Astyanax mexicanus: one gene and its partner. The protein of the gene in region 2 purifies or fractionates together with the protein of the main gene of each other region. This does not show direct contact. Links are inferred from orthologs where the notes say so. Each region holds a gene or a part of one and is shown on either strand. Other genes may lie near its edges.

Region 1 (8,098 bases), on a different chromosome or scaffold from region 2:
GATTCTATATTTGAGCTGCTTGTGGAGTGTTAGGCCTGTTATGATAGTTATGATAAAGTATGTAAATTACCTCAAGCGTTTTTGCTGACCTCCAAATTGCCTCCATTGTGCTTACTTGTAGTTTTTTTTCATGTCAGAATGGAGATTAGTTATGTTTAGCTAGTTGCACTGGCTAAAATAAGCAGCATTTAAAATATACTGTGAACTTTTTTTTGCAAGCAATACAAATTCCCAAATAGCATGCATTTACCAAACTATTATTAATTAAAAGTTAGGCTGTGTATTGGCAAGAATATGATATGCACCATGATACAAAGGTGATATATTGTGATCTTTTTATCAAATTTTAGGGAAAAAATGTTGGGACTTAAACACAACACGAAATGAACCACTGTCTGCCACCAATTTTTACATCAACAAACTGTGATATGCTGCGATATTGAGGTTTTCTTACAACCCTACTGATAGCTATTGTATATTCTCCGCAAAAAATAATGAGTTAATCGTGACAGGCCTAAGGACGCGTCTAAGGTTCTGCCAAATGTTTCCTAATGAAAAAGGAAAGCAGGATGAGCACAGGACGAGGCTGGGCTGGGCTAAAAAGAGGAGCAGGCCAGGAGGAGCTGGGTGCCTTTTAGCAAGCTCATTCACTCAAAAAGGCCTCAACTCATGATTCATGAATGTGGGCTCTTTATTCGTTAAAGGCCAAAGCTCTTTTGAGGCAGAATAGATGCAGGGCGAGATCAGCATCGTTCAGCGTGTTAGAAGAGGAGATGCTGCTGCTGCTGCTGCCTGTAGTAGCCTTCACCCCCTCCTCTGTCTCTGTCTCTCTCTCTCTCTTCTGTCCCCTCCCTCCCTCCCTCCCTCCATCCCTCCCTCCCTCCATCCCCTCCCCCACCACCACCACCACCACCTCTGCAGAGTGAACACGGTGAGCGCTGCATTTGCCACTCATCATATTTTTTACGCCCTCGACCACCAAACCGGGAACCAGGTGCACTCTGTGCTTTTCACCGGCGTCGACATACAGCGAGCTATCATTATTAAATCAGCAGCCGCCCACCATGAGGCCTGACGGAGGCCATTTGTGCAGTCTAGCCTGTGTGATTCAGTGCCATCCTGCATGGCTGCATTATTAACGTTAGCTACACCTTTAGGTTAGATAGCTAACAATTAGCTAGCTAGCAAGCAAGCTAGAGCATCACCCTGTGTCTATAATGAGCCAACATTTAGCTAAGTTAGCTAGCCTAGCTGACCAACTAGCTAGCATTAGCTAGCTACAAATCACGTGTCAGTGTGTTAGATATTGAGTTTGTATGAATGATAATGGGAATGAATGACATTCTGATATTTTGTTGCCTGATGTAGCTTGTAAATATTTTAGATATTGTAATAATCTAATATTTATACACGAATTTTCATCATATTTCTCTATAAGTCACACTGAGTGATACAGGTCACGTTTTCTGGCTGTTTTAGGCTAAATGCAAAAATAGAGATTTTGATGTAAAAAACTAAATGTTTTTATGTAGTGCAGTATACAAGAAATAAGTTTTCATCCATTTTTCCAATTTTAGTTTTCTTTTTTTTTCTGATTTTTCAGTTTTTGCATTTTGCAAGTTGGATTATACCATCAGATTTGTGTTGTAAGATACAAAACTGGACAAATCTGAAAACGAGAGAAGATTCAACTTTTCATTTTTCTCAAAGTTCTGTTTGCGAAAGGCTGAAATTTAAAACGAGATAATTTAAAAAAGTGGATAAAAACACATTTTGTCTTCACTATACTGAATGGAAAAACTATTAAGCAACAATTAAGTTTTATACCCAATTTTCTATTTTCAAATTTAGCTAGACACGGTCGGAAAATTTAACTGATATGTTGTACTGACTGATCTCATGATATGACTGAATAAATACTAGCTAACGCTCTGGTATATTGAAGATTGCAGTGAAATACATTTTATAATATATAATATATAATCTGCCTCTGGGAAAAGCTAGTATGATATATTGTGATACTCTGATATTTCATTTTTTTAAGATTTTAATCATATTTCTCCATAAGTCATGAGTAATGCAGTTATAACGTTTTATGATATGATTGAATGAATACTAGCTAATGCTCTCTGTTTATTGAAAATTACAGTAAAAATGAATGGTATTTGCCTCTGTTAAAAAGCTAGTATAAAATATCCAACATAGTAAGATAGCTCTATATCATATAACATACACACTTTACTTTTGTAGCTATCAATTAACTTGTGTGCATGTTCTGTATGGTTTAGCTAATTTGCCTTATGTGACATTGCACGTCCTGAGATGTGACTACCGCGCATGCGCACATTGATGCGATGCTGATGCTGAAACGATATATTGTGCAGCCCTCTTCTATGGATATTGTAGCTGCTAGCTAACTACCTAGCTGGATCTATAGCAGACTATAGTATTCCCCCATGTGTGAATGAATGGTAACCAAAAATGAATATATTTCAATGAGCCCAAATCTGTTACCTACGAATTCCTCATCGTCATCCTCATCCTCTTCGTTCTCCGAGTCGATCTGCATGGCCTCCTCGATGAAGTTGACGGCTTTCCCTGCTCGCACGGCCGAGTTTTGCTCATTGCCAAACGCGCCCCCCCTGCTCTCGTTCTCCTTCAGCTGGGTGAAATACTGCAGGGCGAACTCCAACAGATCCCGGGGTTGATTCCTCAGCACCTCCACGGTAAAGCTCTGCAAAAGCTCCGTCAACCCCTCGGGGATTTCTATACTCATTCCTGATACCAGGGCTCCGGAGAAAGCGGTGCAAAACTGCAGTAGTACCGGGGATCACAACCGTCTTGGCAACGTCAGCTGAAATGAACGGTGACCTGCGCTGGATGAACTGGAAACTCAGCCAAAAAAACCAGCAAACACACACATACGAGCAGAGGATCTCTCACAACTCCATGGCAGAGACTTCCATCCGTACTGACAGCGTCCCTAATTTTGAGGCACGAAAATGGCAGAAAATTCAACAGCTCGCATCTTTTTGCTGCTGGCTACAGGAAACGCGCCGTTTATTTATTTAATTGTTTAATTTCGCTTTCCGCCCGCTTCCCCACAAGCCCCGCCCCCTCTGCACCGACTGGCTATTAGCTTATACCCCCGCCCTCGCGAGCCCCTTGCCCACCGCGATTGAGCGCCAGCATGAGTCCCCAACCAATCGTAGCACAGCAGTAGCACAGTGGGCGTGGCCTTCTCCAAAACGGGTGTGTGAAAAAAGAGAATAACGCACAGCAAACCCACGCATGTGACCTGAGAAACCATGGCAACCACCATCCGTGGCTTGCGTATGCAGCAGAAGCAGAGGAAGAGGAGCTCTGTATGGCAACTACCGTGAATCCAATTCAGCTCTCAAAACCTACGAGTTCCTTTAATTATGATCTGCTACAAAGACTGGAGCTGTTGCTGCTGCTGCTGCTGCTGCTGCTGTACATGCACCACCTTATACAAAGCAGTCTGGCCTGTGCATTAAAGTCTCACCTATAGAGAATATGCAGCATTTTAGGGCCTGGAGGAATGTGCACTACACGGCCATTCATGGCCTGAAGTAAAATGTACTATACAGCAGTTCAGTGTCTGGAGGAATATGGACTATATAGTATTTCATAAGAAGTATAGAAATATGGACTGTATATATAACAGTTTGGCACCAGGAGTAATAGGGACACAGTTTAAAGCCTTGTGGAATATGGAGTATATATCAGTTTAAAGTCTGGAGGAATATGGACTATATAGCAGTTTAGAGTCTGGAGGAATATGGACTATATAGCAGTTTAGATTCTGGAGGAATATGAACTCTATAGCAGTTTGAAGTTTATGTCCAATATGGACTAAATAGCAGTTTAGAGTCTGGTCCAATATAGACTATATAGCAGTTTAGAATCTGGTGAAATATGGACTATATAGCAGTTTAGAGTCTGGTGAAATATGGACTATATAGCAGTTTAAGGTCTGTGGGATATGGACTATATTGCACTTTATAACCTGGAGAAATATGGGCTATATAGCAGTTTATCGTCTGGTGCAATATGGACTATATAGCAGTTTAGTGTCTGGTGACACATGGACTAAATAGCAGTTTAAAGTCTGGTGGAATATGGACTTCATAGCAGTTCAGAACCTGGAGGAATATTGACTATATAGTAGTGTAGTGTCTGGTGGAATATGGACTATATAGCAGTTTGAATTCGAGTTCAATATAGACTATATAGCAGTTTAGAGTCTGGTGGAATATGGACTATATATCAGTTTAGAGTCTGGTGGACTATGGACTATATAGCAGTTAAGAGTCTGGTGGAATATGGACTATATAGCAGTTTAGTGTCTGGTGAAATATGGACTATATAGCAGTTTAGTGTCTGGTGAAATATGGACTATATAGCAGTTTAGTGTCTGGTGAAATATGGACTATATAGCAGTTTAGTGTATGGTGGAATGTGAACAATAAAGCTGTAAACAACCAGCAGGGGCATTAACTATATACAAGTATTAGGCTGGAATATTGACTGTATAGCAGTTTGGATCATGGAAAGATGTGTAATGTGGACAAATATGACTGTATAGTACTTTATATCCTAGAGGAATGTGCACTATACAACAGTTTAGATCCTGAAGTAGAATGTACTTTACAGCAATTTAGGGCGTATGGATATGGGTTATACAATCATTTAGAGACAGTGAGAATATGGACTATATAGCAGTTTAGATCCTGAAAGGAATATGAATTGTACATATAGCAGTTTAGATCCTGGATGAATGTAAACCATATAGTGGCTTATACCCTGTAGAACTATGGGTTACATAGTTGTTTAGGACCTGAAGGAATATGTGCTATATACAGTTTAGATCCTGGAGGAATATGGACTATACAGCCATGGTCTGAAATGAATATGTAGATTGCAGCCTGGAGGGTTATGGACTATACAGCAGTTTAGTGTCTAGATAAAATGACCTAAATAGCAGTTTAGATCCTGAACTAGAGAAATGTAGACTATATACATACCTGTCAAGTTTTAGATTTAAAAATAAGGGATATTTTCCTCTGTCCGCATAAAGTCGTCCCACCAGCCCAACGAAGGTTCAGTATCCCTTACATTTTAAGACACATGTGAACCACTTACACACTACAATTAGATTATCAGAATCTGAAATGTTGTGGACATTCCTACATATTTCGTTCTTTTAATACAGCCAAATAAAAAATCCTTTTCTAGATATTAAAAAAAGTTAAGATTTCATGTCTTTTTTGCCATAAATGCACTCTTTTAGATTGTATATCTATTTATTTATTTAATAGATTTAAAATTGAACAAAGGGTGCACAAATTCTGCAAAATGACTGTTATACACCTTCTAAGATGTTGGATGGATTCTAGGAAACTTGGTCTTCACGGTGGATCTGGATGGTGGCTATTGCTGGAATTTTATACTGATTTTAATCACAATTTGTTTTTATTAACATAATCAAGTCAAACGTGTAGGCCTGGGTATGGAAACTGAAGGCCTATTTGTCTGGATGTAATCTATTTTTGGAGATTTTGGAAGGATTCTAGGAAGTAAGGCCTACTGCTGCATGGTGACTATTGTTGAATTTTATATTGGTTTTAATTCAATTTGTTTTTTTTAAATACTCAATTAAGTCAAAACCTTGCAGGCCTGGGTATGGAATTTGAATGCCAATATGCCTGGATGTAATCTATTTTTGGAGATTTTGGATGGATTCTAGGAAACAAGGCCTACTTCTGCATGGAGACCATTGCTGATCTTTACACTGTTTTTTTAACACTGTTTCTGGGACAATGGCTCAGTTTGATTATAGCACTGAAAATTATTTTCTAAAAAGCTTAAGGAAATCTGCTACACCCTTGCCCTCGGATGTTAAGTCTATACTTAAGTATCTGGGAATACTGAGACTAAGATCTCGCCCTAGGGGTAAGAAAGCTGGAAAGAATGTTATTCGACCAATAAAGTCAATTGTGGGGAACCGTCCAAACGACTGTGTAACCGTAATTGGCACCAAGCCGGAGCTGACTTGTCAAAAATTGGTTACATCTACTGGATTCTCTCACCCTAGGAACTTAGTCCACATAAAAATGGCTCATAGTAACCCAAAGCCATCTTTGCCTGGATTTCTTCTATCTAATGTGCGCTCACTGCGCCACAAATGTGACGAGTTGTATACGGTATCAGTAAACAACAATTCAGCTGTTGTTGCTGTATCTGAAACTTGGTTGAATCCTGACATTCCAGACTCTATTATCACTTTGCCTGGATATACTTTACATCGGCGGGATAGGGAGAGCAGTAGGGGAGGGGGGGTAGCCCTGTATGCTAGGAGTGACATCTTACAGAAGAGATTGTCTCACTTGGAGGAAGAGGAGTTTGAAGCCTTATGGGTCTGGATGCGACCTAGGCGTCTACCTCGAGGGCTAAATTGCATCATTGCTGCAGTGTTATATATTCCACCTCACTCTTCAACATCTGCAAAACCAGATTCGTTGATTACATCATATCTTGATCGTTGTCTTGGGAATATTGAATGCCAATATCAGAATGCTGCAGTTGTCATTCTTGGGGACACTAACAGGTATAGGTCCGAAACCATCTGTGTCAGACATGGATTGAAGCAAGTGGTGGCTGGGGCAACAAGGAAGGCCAGCCAGCTTGATGCAATTTTTACCAACATTCCTTCCATGTATGATCTACCAGTGCACTTGCCCCCAGTTGGCACTTCTGACCATCAAACCATCTTGTGGAATGCTGGTGAATGGCCCTCTCAGCCCACGCAGTCCATCATATGCCGTAAACGTACTCCTGAGGCATTGAGGCAGTTGGGCCTTCTCATGAACACTACTGATTTCTCTCCCATTTTTGAGGCCTCAGACCCAGAGGTAAAGGTTAAAGCTTTTTCCTCCATGATTTCCTCTATTCTGGATACAGCTGTCCCACTAAAGAAGGTGGCGATTACTAATAAAGACAAGCCGTGGATGACCGTGCAAATTAAACATCTGATAAAAAAGAGACAGTTTGAGTTTTGCTCTGGAAATAAAACTGCTTATAGAAATCTACAATCAGTCATCGTAAAAAAGATCAAGACAGCAAAGCAGGAGTACTACAAGAAAGAGGTGGAGGAACTGCGGTTTTCCAGTTCTAAACAGTGGTTCAAATCTATTTCAGCACTAATGGGAAAAGAGAATTCTAAGCAGGCTATAATATCACAAGATCCCGAGTCTTTGCAGCAGGAATGTGATATTTTGGTCAACCACTTCACGTCAGTATGGGACCAAGTGGCTCATACTACTCCCTCTGAGGAGGATATTTCCAACAAACTCTTGAATGGCTCCATACCCTTTCTGAGTATTGGTCAGGTCAAAGGTAGACTCCGTAGAGTCAAAGGGGGAAAGGCAGCTGGACCTGACGGTATACCCTCTTGGGTTTTAAAGTCCTTTCATGAAGAATTGGCACCGGTGCTGTGTGATATATTCAATGCATGTATCCAACACAATACATTTCCTAAGCCATGGAAAGAAGCACTGGTCAAAGCTGTGCCTAAAAAAGCTAGGCCTAGCTTTCCAGTTGACTATCGTCAGATATCCTTAGTCAGCTGTGTTGGCAAAGTATATGAAGGAATTCTGAGAGATGTCCTTTTGGAGGACACAGCTTCTAAAATTGCCTCTTCCCAGCATGGTTTCATGACAAAAAGATCAACTGTGACTGCTCTGATTCAGATTCTGCAAAGCTGGCATGAAGCACTTAACAACCAACCTAAGATGGATGTTCATGCTGTGTTTGTTGATTTCTCACGTGCATTTGATACCATAAAGCACTGTCAACTGCTACAGTTACTTGCTAATATGGCTATCAGACGCCCCCTTTGGCTCACTGTGAGGAGTTATCTGACTGACAGAGTGCAGAGGATTCAGTGGGGTTCTTGTATATCTGAGCCCTATGCAATACCTTCTGGTGTCCCACAAGGGGGTCTGTTATCTCCATTGCTCTTTGTTATTTGTATCAACAGCCTGGATTCTCGTCTACCTACTTCTCTTCTTCCGGT
Region 2 (7,584 bases):
GAAACAATCCGCCCACTGGGGGGCGCTGTTCCAAAAAAACGAGTATATGTCAATCATGCTGTACTATTTTGACATCTAATTGTTTTTGCCATATTTAGTACAGTGGCTCTGACAAATTTCTCAATACAACTATGTTTAAAAAGTGCTTTGTTCATTCATAATTGCTAATTGTTTGAAAATAGCTATATTGAAACTACTCTCTGGATATTTGGCCTATCACCTCCATTTCAGTCTTGCTGCACACTGTAGAGTCTCTAGGTAAATGTTCATTAAAAACATTTGTGAAAATTTCACATACAATACTCTCCAGGCATCAAGCAATCTGTTGTGCTAGTTGGTGCTTGATGAAGCGCCATTTAATTCAGAACTAGATTTATAATAACTTCGTAATTACGTCATATCAGAACATTCACTCCTTTGTGTTAATTTAAACTTGTTTGGTCAAACATTTCAGCTTGTTCTGCAAAGGTTCAAAGGTCAATCTGAATACCACTTTGTGAACATTCTGGTTGAAGCCACCTGATCAATACCAATAACATGTAGACACCTTTTGACTAGTTCTAACTCACTTAATGAATATCCTACAAAGTTCACTAGATTTACATGTGAATTTAAGCACTGATCAGGTTGAAAGGCCTCTGCTCAACATTAATAACAGGTGAAAAACTTGATAATTTCTAAATGTGACAGGGCATCTCCAATCATATTAGACCTTCTTACACATCACCATTCAATGCTCCAGTAGGCACCATTGTGCAAGTTGGTGCTTGAACCCGATGATTGCCGCTTGCGGCTATATTTTCTGTTATGTTATCAGTCTATTACAAATAGTTTTATAATAAGGCCTGAGCTCTTATTATACATAATTATATAATTGGAACATCTGCTTCAGGTGGCAGACTTTTTTCCTGAAAAGCAAACAGTCCAAATATGAACACATTGCTGTCAACAGACAATAAAACAATGAGGCACGCTGTCAGACACCTCCACTTCAGGTAGTTTTGAAAAGAAAAAAAAAAAATCAATAATATAGATTATGTACTTTTTCAACAACTATGCTCTGAAAACCCCCAAAAATCTTATTTTAATTAAGTCCTGATTAAACAAACATGGTAACACATGCTGGATAAATACATACATAAACAGAGACACACACAAATTTGACCATATTTATATAAATGTTTTACATATCATGTATAAAAATATATGACAGTAATTACAGTAATGACAGTTTTAAATAAAATTAATTGGCAAAACTATTGCACCACTTGTTAATCAGGTAAAGAGTTAAAGAGTTGTGCTACATGCACTTTGCACTGTGAACACTGCGGTGGTAAGAATTTCATAAGAACTTTGGTCCTAAAATGGGTCACACCAATGCCTTTCGAAGTAAATGTGTGTGGGTGAGTAAAGATACGCAGCAAAATGAGAAGCAAAACCACAAAAACAGATAAAAGGATAGGGGAAACTTTATTTTAGCACTTGAAGTTCACTAAGAACACACTCTCCTTCAGAAAGGAGGGGGTTGAGTGACAGCTCGCTAATTGTAATAATGCCAATGAGGAAATGCGGCCCAAGCATAAAGAGGACTGATGCTTAAATATAAGCCTGATGTTTCTAAACCTGTTATTCCACTAACCAAAAAGAAAGAAACACACAATCAACCAGAATCAATGGTGTACGGTGTAATCTGGGGAGCGGTGTGATGAATCAAGGGAATGGTGTAATTAATCAAGTAAACGATGTGATAAATCAGGTAACGGTGCAGTAAATCAGGGAAACAGTGTGATTAATCAGGGGAATGGTGTGGTAAATCAAGGGAACGGTGCGATAAATCAGAGAAACAGTGTGATTAATCAGGAAAATGGTGTGATAAATAAAGGGAACAGTGTGATAACTCAGGGGAACGGTGCATTAAATCAGGGAACTGTATAATATATCAAGGAAATGGTGCAATAAATCAGGTAACTGAGTAATAAATTAAGAAAATGGTGCAATAAATCAAAGTATGGAGTGATAAATCAAGGGAACAGTGTGATAAATTAAGGGAACGGTGTGATAAATCAAGGGAACGGTGTGATAAATCAAAGGAACGGTGTGATAAATCAAAGGAACGGTGAATAATCAAGGGAACGGTGTGATAAATCAAGGGAACGGTGTGATAAATCAGGGGAATGGTGTAATAAATAAAAAGAACCGTGTGATAAATCAAGGGAACGTTTTTGTTTCTAAACATTATTTTTCCACCTTCATCCAATAGGGGCTCCATAGATTCCAATTTCACATTTATTTACCATTTCCTTTTTCATTATTCCTATAAAGGGTCTCTATAAGGAGGCAACCCCTGTCCCTTATTTATCAAATCATATAAATTCTTCATTTTTTTATGCGCTTTAATCCACGATATTAACCATAAACCCTGCTGGGCCCTCTGTCCTCCCACTGCTGTGGGGCTACAGGCCTCTGCACAGAACTGACAGCTCTCCCACAACATGCTAAAGAGCTAACGTGACCTAAATTAAACCCTCTTGCTGCTGTTCTGATATAAATAAGGGGATGATATGATCATGTCTGGGTTAAAGTGTTACTAAACTGAGCCTGCTGCTGGTTGTTTTGTTCGCTCAGAGCTCAGGCCTGACAGTGAGAGCAGCGGGGCTGTTAGCCTGGTTAGCAGCTGCGCTGTTTTTTATTACCGGGCAGAATTCAGTCTTTTTGAAAGGATCCTCTCTCTGAACTCCTCAGAACACACTCTGAAACCCTGTCTGATACAGGGCCGTGCGGCGCGCGGGGCGGGTTAGCTGAGACAGATGTGATTTCGACGCAGATTATTCCTAAACCTGCAGCTAACCCCGAGCTCTGAGCAGCGCAGCGCCTCACACATAACAACAACACCGAGACAGCCGCTCTCACTCACACACACTGTGTAAACACACAAGACACTAAACACACTGTTTAAACGCGCTGTATCACAGTAACTGTCCGCTCACACCTCCACCACCTTAACCGCCCCTCTCACCTTTAGTTGTCGGACCCCCGCAGTGAGCCGTTAGCTGTAGCCCTGCTGCTCATGAAAACAAGCCGCACAGGCCGGAGCAGCCGAGCACCGAGCGGAGGATCTGACAGCGCCGAGCCCAGAGTCATCGATGGAGGAGGCTGTAGAGCTGATCTCTGTATTTTCTCTGATTTTACACTCAGTTTATTGCGTTTCACATCACTGTTTATACAGTCCTGGAAAAAAATAAGAGATCAATTCAGTTTCTGAATCAGTTTCTCTGATTTTGCTATTTATAGGTATATGTTTGATTAAAATGAATATTGCTGTTTTATTCTATAAACTACAGACAACATTTCTTCCAAATTCCAAATACAAATATTGTCATTTTAACAATATTAGGTGTGGGAACAAAATAATAAAGTCCTCGCCATATAAGTTGCCCCCATGACTCAATTACCTAATTCCCACGCTTTAATAGGTCGTCCCTATGACTCTATTATCTAGTTGCAGCGCATTAATAAGTCGTCCCTTCAACTTAATCATCTTGTTCCAACGCTTTAATAAGCTTGTTTAATAATTCTATTTTCCCCACTATGAGGAGCACTTAAAATCCTTTAACTTTTTTTAATTCATTAATTTCCCCAGTTGTCCCCACAACTTAATTATTTCGTGGCAATTTGTTTTGTACACAATGTCACCTTACTGGCTCTGTACCTTAGGCACGTTAACACAAAATTAATGTTTATTGATTAATTTTAGCTATTAATAAAAATCTTTCTATGGATGTCAGTATAAAAAGTATTTGTTCAGGTTTTGTCCTGTCTTTGTTTCGATTGATCATCAAATTTCCACATAATTTAAAGAACATCTTAAAACTGGCTTTTATTTGCACAAGTAAACAAGTACTTAAATATTAGATTTGTTTTAATACCATTGCCATTTTAAAATGACAGCATGCAATTAAAACTGGAGTTAGCAGAGGATGGTTTCAATCCATCGACCTTTGGGTTTACACCCCAAATGGGACCCGATCTCACAATCCCTAGCTTAGGAGGCTTGCCTTGTGCTTTGGCTCAACCTAAACTGTGTCAGCAATAGATACTTGTTTCAAAAAGATTCAAATTGCTTCCCACGCTGCATGCAATTAAAACTGGACTTAGCAGAGGATGGTTTCGATCCATCGACCTCTGGGTTATAGGCCCAGCACGCTTCCGCTGCGCCACTTTCAAATCTACAAAATAAAAAAATGACTTATTTACCCATATTATCACATCCTTGTCCTGTCTCTTGTCAGCCTCCATGTTTTTGTTCCCCTCCTTTGTTTGTTGTCCCAGCCATGTGCTCATAGCACTCTGTGTCTCTCCTTGTATCCGCCCATGTCTTCAGTGCTCCCACCTGTGTTCATTTGTAGTTCCGCCCCCTCATTACCTGTTTCCAGGTGTTTCCTGTATTCCCCATGTGTATTTAAGCCCCTTTGTTTTCAGTGTTGGGTTGTCTGGTCTTGTGCATGTTCTATGTCAGTCAGATTGCTGATTCTTTGTTTTTTTCTGTTTTTAGTTTATTCTGTGTTTTCTCTAGTAGTCCTGTCTGTTCATGTATCTTGTTTTGAGTTTAGTTTTGGTTTATTGTTTGTTTTCTTGTAAATAAAGTACCTGCGTTAACGTCCTCCCTGCTGCAATACCTGACACATATATACATATATACAAAATAACCAGAGGCTTGACATTGCTCACCACATTAATGTATAAACCCTAGTAGCTATATTTTTTTTTACCAGTAAATAAGATGTTAGCTCCAATTTTTACTTTCATTTTTAACTGCTCTCTCAGACTGTGTATAGTTCCCAAATGCTTTAAGAACGCTATCATTATTCCCATGCCTAAAACTAACAAAATCTCTCATCTTAATGATTATAGACCAATTGCTCTCACATCTGTTGTTATGAAATCTTTTGAACAGATTGTACTCTCATACCTGAAAGAACTCTCTTCTCCTTCCATGGACAGTTATCAGTTTGCATACCGGGCCAATAGATCTGTTGATGATACAGTCAACCTGGCCCTTCATAGGATTATGCAACATCTGGAATCCCCTAATACATATGCTCGGATATTGTTCATTGACTTTAGTTCGGCCTTTAATACTATTAATCCCGTCAATCTTTTCAATAAACTTAGGGATATGGACATTGATATTGCTCTATGTTACTGGATCCACAATTTTTTGTCAAAAAGAACGCAGAGAGTCAGGATGGGTAACCTCTCTTCCCAAACTCTAACCCTTAGTACAGGAGCCCCCCAGGGCTGTGTTCTTTCACCGTGGTTATTCTCACTCTACACAAACACCCTCACATCTACCCACAGTTCAGTTTCTATTCTCAAATATGCAGATGACACAACAATAATTGGTCTTATCACCAACAATAACGAACATCACTATCGTGAACAGGTTGCCCAAGCAGTCACTTGGTGCCAAAATAACAATTTACAGCTTAACATATTAAAAACTCTGATTTTTCTCGCACACCCATATACAAAATACCCATCTCTATTTTTTCGCAACCCATTATCATCACTGATTCATTCAAATTTCTGGGAACCCATATCAGCAACACACTTAAATGGAAACTACACTCACACCAACTCTACAAAAAAGCCAATAAAAGGCTATTCTTTCTCAGACAACTAAAAAAATTCGGAGTTAGGAAAAATATCCTTCTTCAGTTTTACACTGCCATCATTCAAAGCATACTCACCTCATCCATAACAGTGTGGTATGGGAATTTGGATACCCATTCACGCAAAAAACTGCAAAGTATAGTAGATAAATCATCAAAAATCACAGGGCACATCCTCCCATCCATTGACACTTTATATTACAGACGCATCACACAACGAGCAATAAAAATCACCTCAGACCCCTCCCATCCTGCATATCATCTATTTACACTTATGCCTTCTGGAAGACGTTACAGGTCACTGTCAACCAAATCTGTCAGATTTAAAAATAGTTTTTTCCCAACCGCTGTACGTTTACTAAACCAGGTTTAACTGTTTATGTATGTATTTGTCTATTCACTGTTGTTTGTTGTTTTGATACAGACAGAGATGTGAGCATGTTATGTTATGCTGTACCGTAAGTAAATTCCACCAACTTGTTGTGTGGTCATTAATAATAAATGAAATGAAAATGAAATGAAATGTTGCTAGTAATTAGGGTAAACTTTTCCATGTATACCATAATGCAATGCGGTGGGGCGGTGTCAGACTTCCAGCACAAACTAAGACTCTTTGTTGTTCGGTCATTCCCTAGTCTGTTCCATATGTAGTAAATGCTATATAGTAAATAGTGAATAAGGTAACAAGTGAACCATATGGGATTAAGGTCTGGAGACTGGCCACTCAGTGACCTTAATGTGCTTCTTTTTGAGACACTTCTTTGTTGCCTTGGCTGTATGTTTTGGGTCATTGTCTTGCTGTAAGACCCAGCCATGACCCATTTTTAATGTCCTGGCAGAGGGAAGTAGGTTATCACTTAGGATTTTATGGTACATGGCTCCGTCCGTTCTCCCACTGATGCGATGAAGTATCTGTGCCTGTGCGCTTAGCAAAGAAACACCCCCAAAACATAATAATAAGGTGTTTATTGGCAAACTTCAGATGGGCCTGCACATGTGCCTTCTGGAGCAGGGAGAGCTTGTGGGCACTGCAGTATTTTAATCCATTACGGCGTAATGTGTTACAATGGTTTTCTTTGTGACTGTGGTCCCAGCTGCCTTGAGATCATTAACAAGTTTCCCAGTGTAGTTTAAGGTTGATCTCTCACCTTCCTCATGATCAAGAATACCCCACAAGGTGAGATTTTGCATGGAGAGTTTGTTTAGATTAAAACAATAACACAATGGTGGTAGCATCATGCTCTGATGTTATGTTTCTGCCAGTGGAGCTGGTACCTAGTACAAAAAGAATGGAATAATGAAAAGCGAGAACAACCTCATAATTCTTTAGCATTAGCCTCCAACCATAAGCTAGATGTTATTCCTTGGACAGAACTGGGTGTTCTAACAGAACAATGACCACAAACATATATCAATCAAAGGTGGATGTGGAATGAATAAAGCAAACTAACAATAAGTTTTAAAAATCTGAAAACATGCAGACTGTGCCCAAAATTAGGTCTGGAAAACCAACAAATTGAACAGAACTCTACCAAGTCTGCCAAGTAGAGCGGTCAAATATCCAAACCAGTATTCTTCCAGATGTGTGTTTATGGCCACCGAAAGCATCTGGTCAGGGTGTAATTTGCTTTGGTACATTTAACCAAATATTAGGTGTGCTGTAAGTGTGTTTATTTCGGAAACCCCCAAAATATATACTTTTTAATACAGTTTTCACTACTAAAGATCTTATTTTGCCTCAGAAGAGAATAGGTCAGAGAATTAATTACTGAATAGCAAATATTGCAATTACAATCATGTCTTTATAAGTGTATGTAAAAATACTGTAAATAGTAACATCTTTAAACCTACTGCCAAGGTTTTTAAGGTGGAACAGTCTGGAGGTTGTCTTTTACTGAGTCACTTATTATTA

Evidence for each region.
Region 1: the proteins of akap11 (region 2) and cAMP-dependent protein kinase type II-beta regulatory subunit purify together in Homo sapiens (affinity purification with mass spectrometry; 3 studies listed by BioGRID and IntAct, counting the BioPlex papers as one, with this or other methods). This does not show direct contact. The link is inferred for Astyanax mexicanus from reciprocal best matches to the Homo sapiens genes AKAP11 and PRKAR2B.

The regions. Positions count from the first base shown.
Region 1 is NC_064409.1:59,203,645-59,211,742, reverse strand, and holds the start of cAMP-dependent protein kinase type II-beta regulatory subunit, read right to left. Parts: upstream 3,080-8,098; 5' UTR 2,777-3,079; coding exon 2,515-2,776; intron 1-2,514. UniProt on the Homo sapiens protein: Regulatory subunit of the cAMP-dependent protein kinases involved in cAMP signaling in cells. Type II regulatory chains mediate membrane association by binding to anchoring proteins, including the MAP2 kinase.
Region 2 is NC_064418.1:28,086,791-28,094,374, reverse strand, and holds the start of akap11 (A-kinase anchor protein 11), read right to left. Parts: upstream 3,121-7,584; 5' UTR 3,017-3,120; intron 1-3,016. UniProt on the Homo sapiens protein: Binds to type II regulatory subunits of protein kinase A and anchors/targets them.